Cricetulus griseus: one gene and its partners. The protein of the gene in region 1 interacts with the protein of each later gene in a pairwise test. Links are inferred from orthologs where the notes say so. Each region holds a gene or a part of one and is shown on either strand. Other genes may lie near its edges.

Evidence for each region. The genes of interacting proteins can lie anywhere in the genome.
Region 2: the proteins of Lnx1 (region 1) and Ruvbl2 interact in binary tests that used the Homo sapiens proteins (3 or more experiments, as listed by UniProt). The two-hybrid records come from large-scale screens. The link is inferred for Cricetulus griseus from reciprocal best matches to the Homo sapiens genes LNX1 and RUVBL2.
Region 3: the proteins of Lnx1 (region 1) and Prr13 interact in binary tests that used the Homo sapiens proteins (3 or more experiments, as listed by UniProt). The two-hybrid records come from large-scale screens. The link is inferred for Cricetulus griseus from reciprocal best matches to the Homo sapiens genes LNX1 and PRR13.

Annotation. Positions count from the first base shown.
Region 1 is NW_023276807.1:141,117,518-141,121,164, reverse strand, and holds part of Lnx1 (E3 ubiquitin-protein ligase LNX), read left to right. Parts: intron 1-1,331; coding exon 1,332-1,557; intron 1,558-3,647.
Region 2 is NC_048599.1:154,334,711-154,338,357, forward strand, and holds part of Ruvbl2 (ruvB-like 2), read right to left. Parts: intron 2,531-3,647; coding exon 2,475-2,530; intron 1,971-2,474; coding exon 1,829-1,970; intron 982-1,828; coding exon 852-981; intron 748-851; coding exon 681-747; intron 1-680. UniProt on the Homo sapiens protein: Possesses single-stranded DNA-stimulated ATPase and ATP-dependent DNA helicase (5' to 3') activity; hexamerization is thought to be critical for ATP hydrolysis and adjacent subunits in the ring-like structure contribute to the ATPase activity.
Region 3 is NC_048595.1:398,840,010-398,844,316, reverse strand, and holds the start of Prr13 (proline-rich protein 13), read right to left. Parts: upstream 2,914-4,307; 5' UTR 2,797-2,913; intron 2,010-2,796; 5' UTR 1,990-2,009; coding exon 1,971-1,989; intron 1,750-1,970; coding exon 1,400-1,749; intron 154-1,399; coding exon 109-153; 3' UTR 1-108. UniProt on the Homo sapiens protein: Negatively regulates TSP1 expression at the level of transcription. This down-regulation was shown to reduce taxane-induced apoptosis.

The sequences.
Region 1 (3,647 bases):
ACTTGGCCGTGATGGTTGTGCCTCTTTGACTAGGATGAGCATGTCTGCAGCTGTAGTCCAGGCTCACCCCTCTTAGTGCATGTGAGTGGGTGTGAGGCAGCTTTGCTGGGAAAGCTAGAGTCCCTAGATTTTCCAGGATGGACAATCAATGAACCTATGAGCCAAGTTACTTCTAAGGCATAATCCAGTTCCACACATTCTAACTGGTTCTTTGCCAGTAATGAAACTGATTTATGAATTGTGTCATTTTGTGGACTCAATTAGTTGATAGATGCCGATTCAGTGGTATAATTAAATATCATCGGAGGGACTTGCTCATTGGCAAGTAGACCTCTGCTATCCACTCCTGTTCTGGGCTTCTCTACATGAAGGGAGGTATGCAGTTTACCTCTGCAAGGATGTGTTAATAACACTGTTAATAACACTGTACAAGCATATGAAGAGGTTGCCTAGGTAGAGGAATTGTGCTTTTAAAGAGCTCAGATTTAAGACAAAATAAAATTTCTCAAGTACAGTCACTCTGCCTGCTGATCTAGAAGTTGGGGGTGGCATGGTACAGCATTCTTTTCTAGTCAGCAAGCTTTGTGGCCACCCTTTGTCATTTTCCTCCTGTCTACAATTATTCTGTATGAAAAAGATGATGTATAAGAGGCACACACCTCCTCAAAAGAACCAAGAGATAAATGAATTAGAAAGCAAGGAGAGGAAGGTACCTTTTAATATCTCTTGCTATTCGGCAAGCACCTGAGTGAAGAATGATGAGGGGCGAAGAGAAGTGACATACAGGAGTATTTTTGCATAAAGTGGGCACTTAGCTACTGCTGGCTCTGTGCAGCACAGAGAGTCGGTGACTACAAATGGTACCTGATTTCCATCTCCATGAAAGCTCAGGTCCAGGCCTATTCTTGATCTGCTCTGGTCTCCCGAGCCAGACACTAACTCCTGTTTTGGTCTCCGTATGTTGGTAGCCTCCCATACACCAGGCTCTGTGTAGGCATGGGAGGACTTAGTCAATCATTCTCACTGTGTGCTAAAGAAAACAGGAAATTAAAAGAGCGAAATTGTAGGTTGTCTTTGGCTAAGTAACAAACAAAACTAGCTTATATAAGGGAACAGGTGAACATTGGTAAGTAATGTGTAGAGACTCCCAACAAGACATTCCCACATGCTCTACTTATGTGCTAATTGAGACCCAGTCTTGTGTCACTATGAGTTCAAGAGACATACTGATCCTCACTCTGTCCACATGCCCATTCAGCCTCTGTCCTGTCACACATGGAGCAGAATCCCATTTGCACTCACTGAGGATGCTTCTGCTTCTCTGGCCTCAGGTGACATTTTATTGAATGTGAACGGGATTGAGCTCACAGAGGTCAGCCGAACAGAGGCCGTTGCCATATTGAAGAGCACATCCTCCTCAGTGGTACTCAAAGCCTTGGAAGTCAAGGAACAGGAGCTCCAGGAAGACTGCAGCCCAGCAGCCCTGGACTCCAACCACAATGTGACCCCGCCTGGTGACTGGTCCCCATCCTGGGTCATGTGGCTGGAATTACCACAGTGAGTCCTGATTTAACACCCCTACAGATTATGTTTCTTAAACCACTCTTTCACCGTCTTGGGCTGATTCATGGGCACGAGCATCTTACTAATATGACCCAGTCTTGTTTGTGGGGCTGTTTGAACAAATTCTATCTTCTGTAGGCAAATGAAAGTCCGAATAGATATCTTAGGGAGTGTGTGAAAATCTATGGAGCACCTTCTAGATGCTTTCCTCGTTTGCAGAGTTATAAGGTGGCTTGTAAAGCAGGGAGTGTAGCTGACTGATAAAAACTCAGCCTGTGTCTACACTCACAAGCTGAGCTCTGCTCAAGTCATTTTCATCCTTGCATGGAGATGACTGGGAGCTGTACTAGCTGCAACCTCACTCAGGTTTCTAGAGGCTCTGACTACACATATAGAAGTAGAGCAGAACAAGGTTAAGTGTCTGGTAGTTGAGGATTCTTCGCAGAACATCTCTCTTCTGTGACTCTCCTGGAAAGTTCTTTAGGAAGCAGCTGGGTTGTCATTTTACTGAGGTACAACTGGAGCCTTACAATGAACTATAAAATGACCTGACCCGCTGACTTGAGATGAGGATTTGGACAGAACCCCACAAAGTGGCTATGTACATGAATTGTGATCATTCAAAGGATAGAAAAATTTGATGTTTGCTTCCCTGGACCAGAGCAAACTTTACTGGCCTTTAGATGTAAAGGTGTAGCTTAGATGTTAAGAATGGTGTCACTGAAGATGGATGTACTGGAGTAGGATGAAAGAGTGGAAGCAGGTGGGGTATTTGGTTTTGAAACTTTTTCTTGAAGGTAGAGATAGCTCTTACTTAGTAGCTTCACATACAATTTGATCCCGTTGTATTTGAGTCTCCACTAGTTGATTCATTACTTTTAAAATCAGTAAGTCTTTAAAAGTCCTTAGAAAGTGGAACACTGAGCATTGAGGCAATTTAAACACTTTACAACTGAGCCTAAGTAGGAGACTATTATGTTGAGTAAATTAATACACACATACTATGTGAATTGGTGTTTTGCCATGGGTGTCATGTCTGCTGGAACTGGGATTAAAGACAGTGATGAGATGTCATGTAGGTGCTGGGAATTGAACCTGGGTCCTCTGAAAGATCAGTCAGTGCTATTAACCGTTAAGTCTTATCTCCAGCCCTAAATTTTTCTTTAAAAGAGATTTTGGAACTATAATCCCAAGCCCATTTGTACCTTTTGTTTGAAAGCTACTTTGCCATTCTCCTCACTGTTCACATGTGCAAGGAGAACATCAAGCCCATGGCGCCTTACTTTTCCCATGAGCCACCTGGCATTGGCAGCAATTCTCTGCTCCTGCTGGAATGTCTGAACTGCACTCATTCCCTCCAAGAGTAAAAGGAAATGTGATATGATGGCAACACAAGAAGATAGGGACTTCCAGAACCTCAGAGCCTCTTCCTATCCTTCCTTTCCTCCTCCTCCCTGCAATATTTAATGGCATGGTGAGGAGGTCAGAGGGTACCAGAGCAGAGGGAGCAGGAAGTCAGTATCCATCCTTTCCAGAACCTTCAAGTCACTCAGCAGAGGTCACCAGCATTACCAACGTCTTGAGTATTTTTTTCAGGGAAAGACTATGTCAGAGGTTGATCTTTTCTGCAAAAGGCTGGCGAGCTTGTGCTTAGAGAGTATGGGGCCTTGGCAACCACTCACTGCTGTTGTAGCATAAAGGCAGCCATAGACCATCTGTGAATGAAAGCTTGTGGGCTTGGCTGCCCATGGCTTAGATAGCAATGTACTCACTCAAACACAATGGAGGCCTGTGAGCTCATATGGTACAAAGCTTTTTAAAACTTACAAAGAAACCTAAGAATTGATTTTGGGAATCACGATAGTCAGGGCACCACCAATGTCCACTGCCTCCAGGGATGGGTCAAACTGTACATCTGTGAAGCCAGGTGGCAGGTTAGGTGGCTGTCACACCATTGGGTCACTTTTGTTCTTTAGGGATGGTACATGTGAAAGTCCGGATCAAGCTGTGTGAAGACAGAGCTGTCGCATTCCCTTCCCTCCACATGTGGTCTGGCCCTTTTACTTAATGTTCACATCTGTCCT
Region 2 (3,647 bases), on another chromosome or scaffold:
ATTAAAAGAAAAAAAAAATCATGCCAGGCAGTGGTAGCACACACCTTTAGTCCCAGCACACAGGAGGCAGAGGCAGGTGGGTCTCTGTGGGTTCCAGACCAGCCTGGTCTACAAGAACTAGTTCCAGGACAGCCTCCAAAGCTACAGAGAAACCCTGTCTCAACCCCTCCCCCCCAAATCACATATGTTCACATACATGGGTGCACGTGCACAGTGTAGGTTGGAGGATAACTAGTGAGTTTGATTCCTTCCATCATGTGGGTGGTGGGAACTGAACTCACACCAGGCTTGGCAACAAATACCCACTTAGCCACCTCATAGCCCTTCGAGTAACTTTAAAGACATGAAATGAAACAACTGAGCAGCTGCCTAACAAACATGGGGCTTTAGGTTTGACCCAGCACAGAAAAAAGAAAACAGAAACTCCTACAACCAGGTAGAAGAAAGCCAAGTGTCAGACACCTCTGGGTGACACTGGAAGCACAAAGTGTCACACAGAGGTAGGTCAACTGGGTGGCCGTAGAGTGAAGGACGCTGGGGGAAAGTTCTGATTCTTGGTGCCCACAGCAACTCATCAGCTGACACACTCATTTAGCTAGCTTCTCATTTTACAAGAAAATCTATATCATCCTTTGCCCTTTGGCTGGAGGTGTTGGGACTGGGAAGCCACAGAGACTCACCGTGCCTGTGGCTGGCCGGTCGATCTGGATCTCCACCACCTCGCCTTCAATGATCTCTGTCTCCTCCCTGGTGGGACAGACAACAGAGCCTGGGTCAGACTGGCCCCTGAGACCCTGGCTCCCTGACCAGGACTTCGAGCAAGCAGAATGGATATCACACAGGAAACTCACTTGATACGGACACCGATGGAACGGCGGAAGGCTTGAGTCAGAGCCTCAGTCTTGCTCATCTCCAGAGAAAAGATCTCACTGCCTGCGATGGCTGTAAAGGGTGTGTCGGGGCCCAGTGCCTGAGCCATGCCTGTGGGAGCAGTGGTCAGGCAGTTGTGGCTGCTGGCCCCAGATCCCTGACTCAGTGATGGCCACCCACCCTATCAGCCATTTAGTCTCCACATTAGCACGCATCACCTTGCAAGGCACGGAGACATGGCCACCTCTCTAGGTAAGTGCCATTTCTGAACTGATTGCTGGTAGAGCTCGACTCTCCGTGCCAGGTCCCACAGGGTTATCAGAGGTGGGAGTGCAAAGACAGGTGAGGCAGGGGAGTCTCAGAGGCAGAGACGCCCCAGGAGGGTTCTGAAGGATGGACAGAGTTCCACAAGCAAAAGCAGCAGCTGTGACCCTCAATCACTAGTGGACTGCTACAGAGAAGGCTGTCTGTCTGTTTGTCCAGTGTTCATTTGCTTCCTCATCCCCAGACCCTCACTTTATTAAGAGAGTAATGATCCAAATTAAAAAATTGTACAATAATGCTGGCCTGGTGGCACACACCTTTGTCCCAGCACTTGGGAGGTAGAGGTAGGTGGATCCCCAGGCTAGACAAGACTAGCAACCTCCAAAGCCCCAGCCTGCTCTGCAAACCATGTGATAGAACCAGAAATGCAGAAGCACACAGCTTCCTTACAGGACAGCTGTGAAGGATGCATGACTGGACTACAGTGGGGAAGGCTACAGCTGAAGCAGCCTTCTTGGAATACAAGGTGACCCTAGCATGGAAACAAGGAGAAAATGTTAAGACAGAGGACCCCATATAACTTCTCAGTGGTCCCAGACAGCCTCCTTCTGACGTCTCTATGATTGTCTGTTAAACAGCTGACATGTCCCTGACCGCCACAGAAGGAGAATGTCTGCCCCACGAGGCCTCTTACCCATGGCAATGGCGGTCTTCCCAGTGCCTGGCTGTCCAGCAATGAGGACGGCCCGCCCTGCAATCTTCCCTTCTCGGATCATCTCCAGCACCACGCCGGCTGCACGCCGGGCAGCAAGCTGCCCCACCATGCCCTGGGAAGCCTGGAGGGTAGGAGATGAGAGGACATGGAAGGTGACTGATTGCCTCCAGAGCCACTGACGTGTTCCCACCACACCCTGGCCCACACCTTGCCTGCTTGGAAAAAAATAAAAAATACTGGTTTTCTTCTTGATTTTTTTTTTCTTTTTGAGGCAGGGTCTCACTCTGTAGACCAGCCTGGCCTTGAACTCAAGAGATTGGGCTTGCAGGTATAAAACACTGTGTATGGTTGAAATCCTTCATCACAGAATCAAGAGGTCTGAGCCAGGCAGTGGTGGTGCATACCTTTAATCCCTGCACTTAGGAGGCAGAGGCAGGAGGATCTCTGTGAGTTCAAAGCCAGCCTGATCTACAGAGCCAGTTCCAGGAAAGGCTCAAAGTCTCCAAAGCTACAGAAAAATCTTGTCTTGAAATAAACAAAACAAAACAGGTCTGAAGATAGGAATAGCCCTGCCCAACATGACAGGAGCAGCCCATATACCCAGCCCCCTGCCCCATAACTCTACCTGTCTTGGTTCCAAGGCATCATCCAGTCCCAGACCCCGGATGTGGGAGTGAGCACCTGTGTGGGAGGAAGGGAAGAGTCACTGGCTGGCTCCAGGCCATGCTGTGTGGATTCTGAGTCAGGGGCTTCCCTCAGAGATCAGGCTCCCCTGTTAAATGAGGCCAGGAAGATGCCTGAGTTAAGTGTTCAGCATCCGAGAGCTGGATGACTCCACCAAGTTCCCAGGTACTGGGCCCAAGAACTAACAGTGAGGGCCACTGCAGGAGGACACTGGTACTCAGGGCTGTTATTCCACATCACCCCGACAAGTACCATTCCTGGGCCCATCCACAGGGATGGGGAGAGAGTGCAGACAGGTTAGGGCTCAGACCCCATCCAGCAAGAGGTGAGGATGGAGCCCCAGTGCACCAGCCACTGGCTCTGTACTAAAGCTCAAAGGACACAGGCAGCAGGCCCAGTCACAACCCATCTCTATGCCACCACACTCTTGAAGTGAGTTGTGTCACTTTTGATAGAGATGAGATATAGCAAGTGCTGGGTCCAACCCAAGTGTGGGGAGGAGGAGGGTGTTTCATTTCAATAAAGCAGAACTCATCAGCCAGGCATGGCAGTACACATCTGTGACCTCAACCCTCAGGAGGTAGAGGCAGGAGAATCAGAAGTTAAAAATCACCCTCAGATACACAGTGGGTTCAGGGCTAGCCCGACCCACATGAGATTGCCTCAAAAACAAACAAACAAAAAACACACCACACAAAAAATCCCCCAAGGCCAGGCAGGGTGGTACATACTTTTAATTCCAGCACTCAGAAGGCAGAGGCAGGTGGATCTCTTGAGATTAAGGCCATCCTGGTCTACACAGTGAGTTCCAGGACAGCCAGGGATACACAGAAAGTAAGTAAAAAGGTCCTGCCTTAAAAAAACAAAAGTAGGTGCTGGAGAGATGGCTCAGAGGTTAAGAGCACTGACTGCTCTTCCAGAGGTCCTGAGTTCAATTCCCAGCAACCACATGGTGGCTCACAACCATCTGTTATGAGATCTGGTGCCCTCTTCTGGTATGCAGATATGCATGGAAGGAGAATGTTGTATACATAATAAATAAATAAAATTGTTAAAAAAAGAAAAAAAAGGAAGACACTTAAAGGATGTAGCTCATGGGTAGAGAGCTTGCCTA
Region 3 (4,307 bases), on another chromosome or scaffold:
GGGAGGAGTAGGGTGGGAGCAGAGGGTAATCTCCCTCAGTACAAGGTGACAGCTGAAGCTTGATGGGAGAGCTGGTGAGACGAGGGGAGGAGGGTCCAGGCCCTGCATTCAGTCAGAGTCACTGCTGGAGGAGGAGGAGGAAGAGGAGGAATGCTGCAAGGGGAAAGAACATAGCATCAGATCCAAATGACCTTTCATCCCTCCAGGGGCCATTCTTCGATGCCCCGCCCTTCCACCCAGGTATCTAGTAGGCAGGAGTCTTAGCCCATCCTGCCCCATAACCAACAAAATCAACAGTTTCCTTCAGCAAGGAGCATAATGGAACAGATTAAACTGCCCTCCACCACTGCACAGAACTGAACATATTGTTGCCTTCAGATGGAGTTTCTTCTTTCCACAGCTAGGCAAGGCCAGGAACATGGAATAAATAAACATAGCACCGATCTATAAAACAGCTGTTACCTTATAAATACCTGTTGATTGGCTGCAAGTAAGGACCATCACAAACTAGAATCTATGCACCTAAGAGAGGGCAGCTGTGTGAGGTGATGCTGTACCTCTAAACCCCACCAGGGGGAAACAGGAAAGTGGGAGAGACAGATGGCTGGAGATATCCCATTCAAGGACCCATACAGACACACCTCTATCAACTACCACTAAAAACATGTTTAGATTCTCCAGGGTTTTCTCCTTCATTTGGTCTCTCGTTCTTTGCTCCTGACAGTTCCACCAAAGACCTAGAATAGGACTAGAGCCTGAATCCACAAAGCAAACATTGGGCATAAAATCTAAGTGAAGCTCAGAGACCCAGGTAGGTCCTCTCCTTCCCAAGTCCTCAAGGAAACTTCTCCCACCCTCCCTAATAATAATTAGCATTCCTGCAGAAGGAAGATAAATACCCCAGGGTTTGTTGGAGGCTGAGTCACAGAAGAAATGCCTAGGTAATTAACAACACCCTGAGAATACGGAAGGAGATAAAGGAAACCCTGGAACCAAGTCCATGTTTACCATTCTGTTAATTATCATATGTGGTTTTACTTTGTCAAAAGACTCACTCAATTGACAATTAGACAACCTCAGGGGGTATGCCCAACTTGCCAAAAGATACACCTGGAGGGTCTTGGGTTGGGGATGTTTCTGGGAAAGAATTAGGCAGAGAAGGGAGAGGACTCTTGGTTCTGATAGCCACCAATGCTTAGCTTTTCCTTTTCAGAAACAGGAGAGATCTGATGCCTCGATAGTATTATTACACTCCTATCAGGAGAATTCTTTTACATAAAGGAAAAGTCACCTGCCATCTCCCACACCCACAAACCGTGAGCCCCTTCCCCAACCCCGCTCACTCCAGTCCCTCTGATGGACACCCCTTCCCTCCCCAGCCATGCTCTCAGAAACTGACCTTTCCATGCTTGTGTTGTTTGTGAATCTTTTTATGAGCCTTCTTCATTTTCTTCCGTGTCTTCTTGTCTATCACCATCCCTGGGCCTACCATTCCAGGAGCCAAAGGATTCACAGGGCACATGCCAGGAGCAGGTGGTGGGTACGGGGGAGGGTGGGGCCCTGAGGGTTGGTATCCTGGACACCCTGGTTGTGGTACAGGGTAAGGGGGGCGACATGGAGGGAAAGCTGGGTTTCCCTGGGGTATTCCTGGAGGACAGGGGCCAGGAGGAAAGGCAGGGTTGATAGGTGGTGGACAGGCAGGATTGGGAACTCCTGGGCACAAGGCTTGGGGTGGATATGGGTTAGGCCCTGGAAAAAGAACCAGGGAATAAAAATTAGAACTTTCCAGAACCTCTGTCAACAAATAACAAAATCCACTGCATTCCTTAACACTGTTGGAAAGGGGAAAGCTTGGTAGCAGTGGTCCAAGGCTTCACTTTTGCTTGCGGGTGGGGGCTGTAGATACAGAAACTGCCTGTTCCATTGCAAAATGGGCTGGGTGGGGCAGAGGCGAGCCCCCAGGTACTTACCAGCATTAGGGTTCCACATGTCCAGATGTTAGTTCCAGCCTAAGAAGGAAAAGAGGCAAAAATCTGAAAGTCCTAGGAGGGGAAGAGAATTTTCTAGAGTCTGAGCCCCACCCTCCAGCCTCCGCCTTACAAAGGCTCTAACTAATAGGCGTGTGGTAGCCCACGTCTTTAGTTCCAGTGCTAAACAGAGGCAGGCGGATCTCTGTGTTCAAGGCCAGTCTGGTCTACAGAGAGAGTTCTGGGACAGCCAGGCTTACCCAGAGAAACCCTGTCTCAAAAACAAAAAACAAAAATAAATAAGAACTTCCTCTTTTTAGCGCCCTCTAGGCCTACTCTAGCCCAGGGTCAAAACCACAGAAATTCTATGGGCCCCTCCCATTTTCACTACCTCAAGCCACACCTGGAGAAAACTAACTCTCCCCATCACTCATTTCCCTTTTCCCGGAAAGGAACGGGAGGTCTTTAAGCACAGGCAGTGCGAGAGAGAACCTCAAACCACCTAAACTCTGCGGCCCGCCCCCGATGAGGAGTTTAGAAAAGGACCCCGCCCTAGAGCAGCAAGAGGAAGGAACCTCCATGTCCTCAAACGCTTAGACAAGGAAACACACACACACACACCAAAAAAAGAGCAAATCCTCAAATGCTTAGACAAGGAAACACACACACACACACACACACACACACACACACACACACACACACACACACACACACACACGGGGGGGGGTGCGGGGGCAAACGGAATTCCTAGTTCCCATATATAAACAGACCCCTGATCCCTATTCAGAGAAAAGAAGGGAATTAGGGAGGCCAGAGGCCCAGTCACCTGTCACCTCCCGAAAACAGCTGGGCCTGCTACTGCCGTCCGCCTTTCCAGTCTGAGTTCGCACTTCCTGGTCACCCTATTCATTCTATGCCTCCGCACCGCCCCTGTGACCTAGTTGATAATTATGTGGTCACTCGGCATGATGATTGGAGAGCTGACTTGTCAATCGCTGTGGTCCAACTAAACTAGGAGGAAACGGTTGCTCAAGCCTCGAGGCGGAGCCTTTTGGGAAGCATTGCATGATGAAATACCGACACACAGGTGAAATACAGAAACGCAGCAGAAACGCTCCTTATGGCGAAGCCCGGGCAGAGCCAGCTGCAAGCAAAGACCCTGAGACACCGAGATAAACGCTCACTGGGTTACTGGTTTAATTAGGTTTTTAAATTTATTTTTTCATGAGTATGACTGTTCTGCCTGAATGTATGTATGTGCTTGATGACAGCGGAAGTCATCAAATCCCCTGGAATTGTAGTTGCTAATGGTTGTGAGCAACTATGTGGGTGCTGAGCACTGAACCCAGGTACTATGCAAGAGAAGCAAGTGTTAACTATTGAGCCATGTCTCCAGTCCCTGATATTGGTTTAAAGTTACAGTGATTATCTTGGGAGTTGTTTGGGGGGGGGCGGGGAGCGTGCAAGCCTAGCCTAGTGGCACTTGTCTGTAACCTAGCGCTTGGAAAGTGGAGGAGGAAAATCATAATTCAAGACCAGCGGTAGCTTCTGGTCGAGATTGAAGCCAACCAATTCTACTTAAAACAACAGAGGTAAGTAGAGCAGTTGGGGCGCACACCTTTATTCTCAGCACTACGGAAGCAGAGGCAGGCTAATCTCTGTTAGTTCAAGAGCTTGGTCTATATAGATCAAGTGATAGGACAGTGGAGGCTACACAAACTCTGTCGGAAGCGCGGGGTGGGGGTGGGGGGCCCGAAGGTGCTGCTGAGTCCCAGCCCCAAGCCTCGGTATCGCCAGCCTGTGAAAAGCAAAGACACATTCTTGAGGGGATTCCCTAATCTCTCACAAAACTCCATTTTATTGCTCTGTCATCTGTGGGGTTGCTTGAAACAAAAACTTAGGTCATCCCAGCCACCTCATTATGCTCTAGGTCACCCACCATGCCTCTTCTACCTTTCCCTTTCACCCTAACCCCAGTGCAACACAAGTTATATTTTTACCTCCCAAATACATCTGGAATTCCTCTACCTCTATCTTCCTTGTCCCCAGCCTGCCATAATGTCCTGGATTGCTACAATTGCCCCTTTCCTTCTATATATATATATAATTTTTATTTTCATTGTCTGTGCATTGATGTTTTGCCTGCATGTGTGTCTGTGTGAGGATGTCAGATCCCCTGGAACCAGAGTTATAGACTGTTGTGAACTGCCATATGGGTTCTAGGGATTGCACCCGGGTCCTCTGGAAAAACAGCTGGTTCTCTTAACCACTGACCGTCTCTCCAGCCTCACAAATGTCCCTTTCTTATTTGGTTGGTTGGTTGGTTTTGGTTACCCT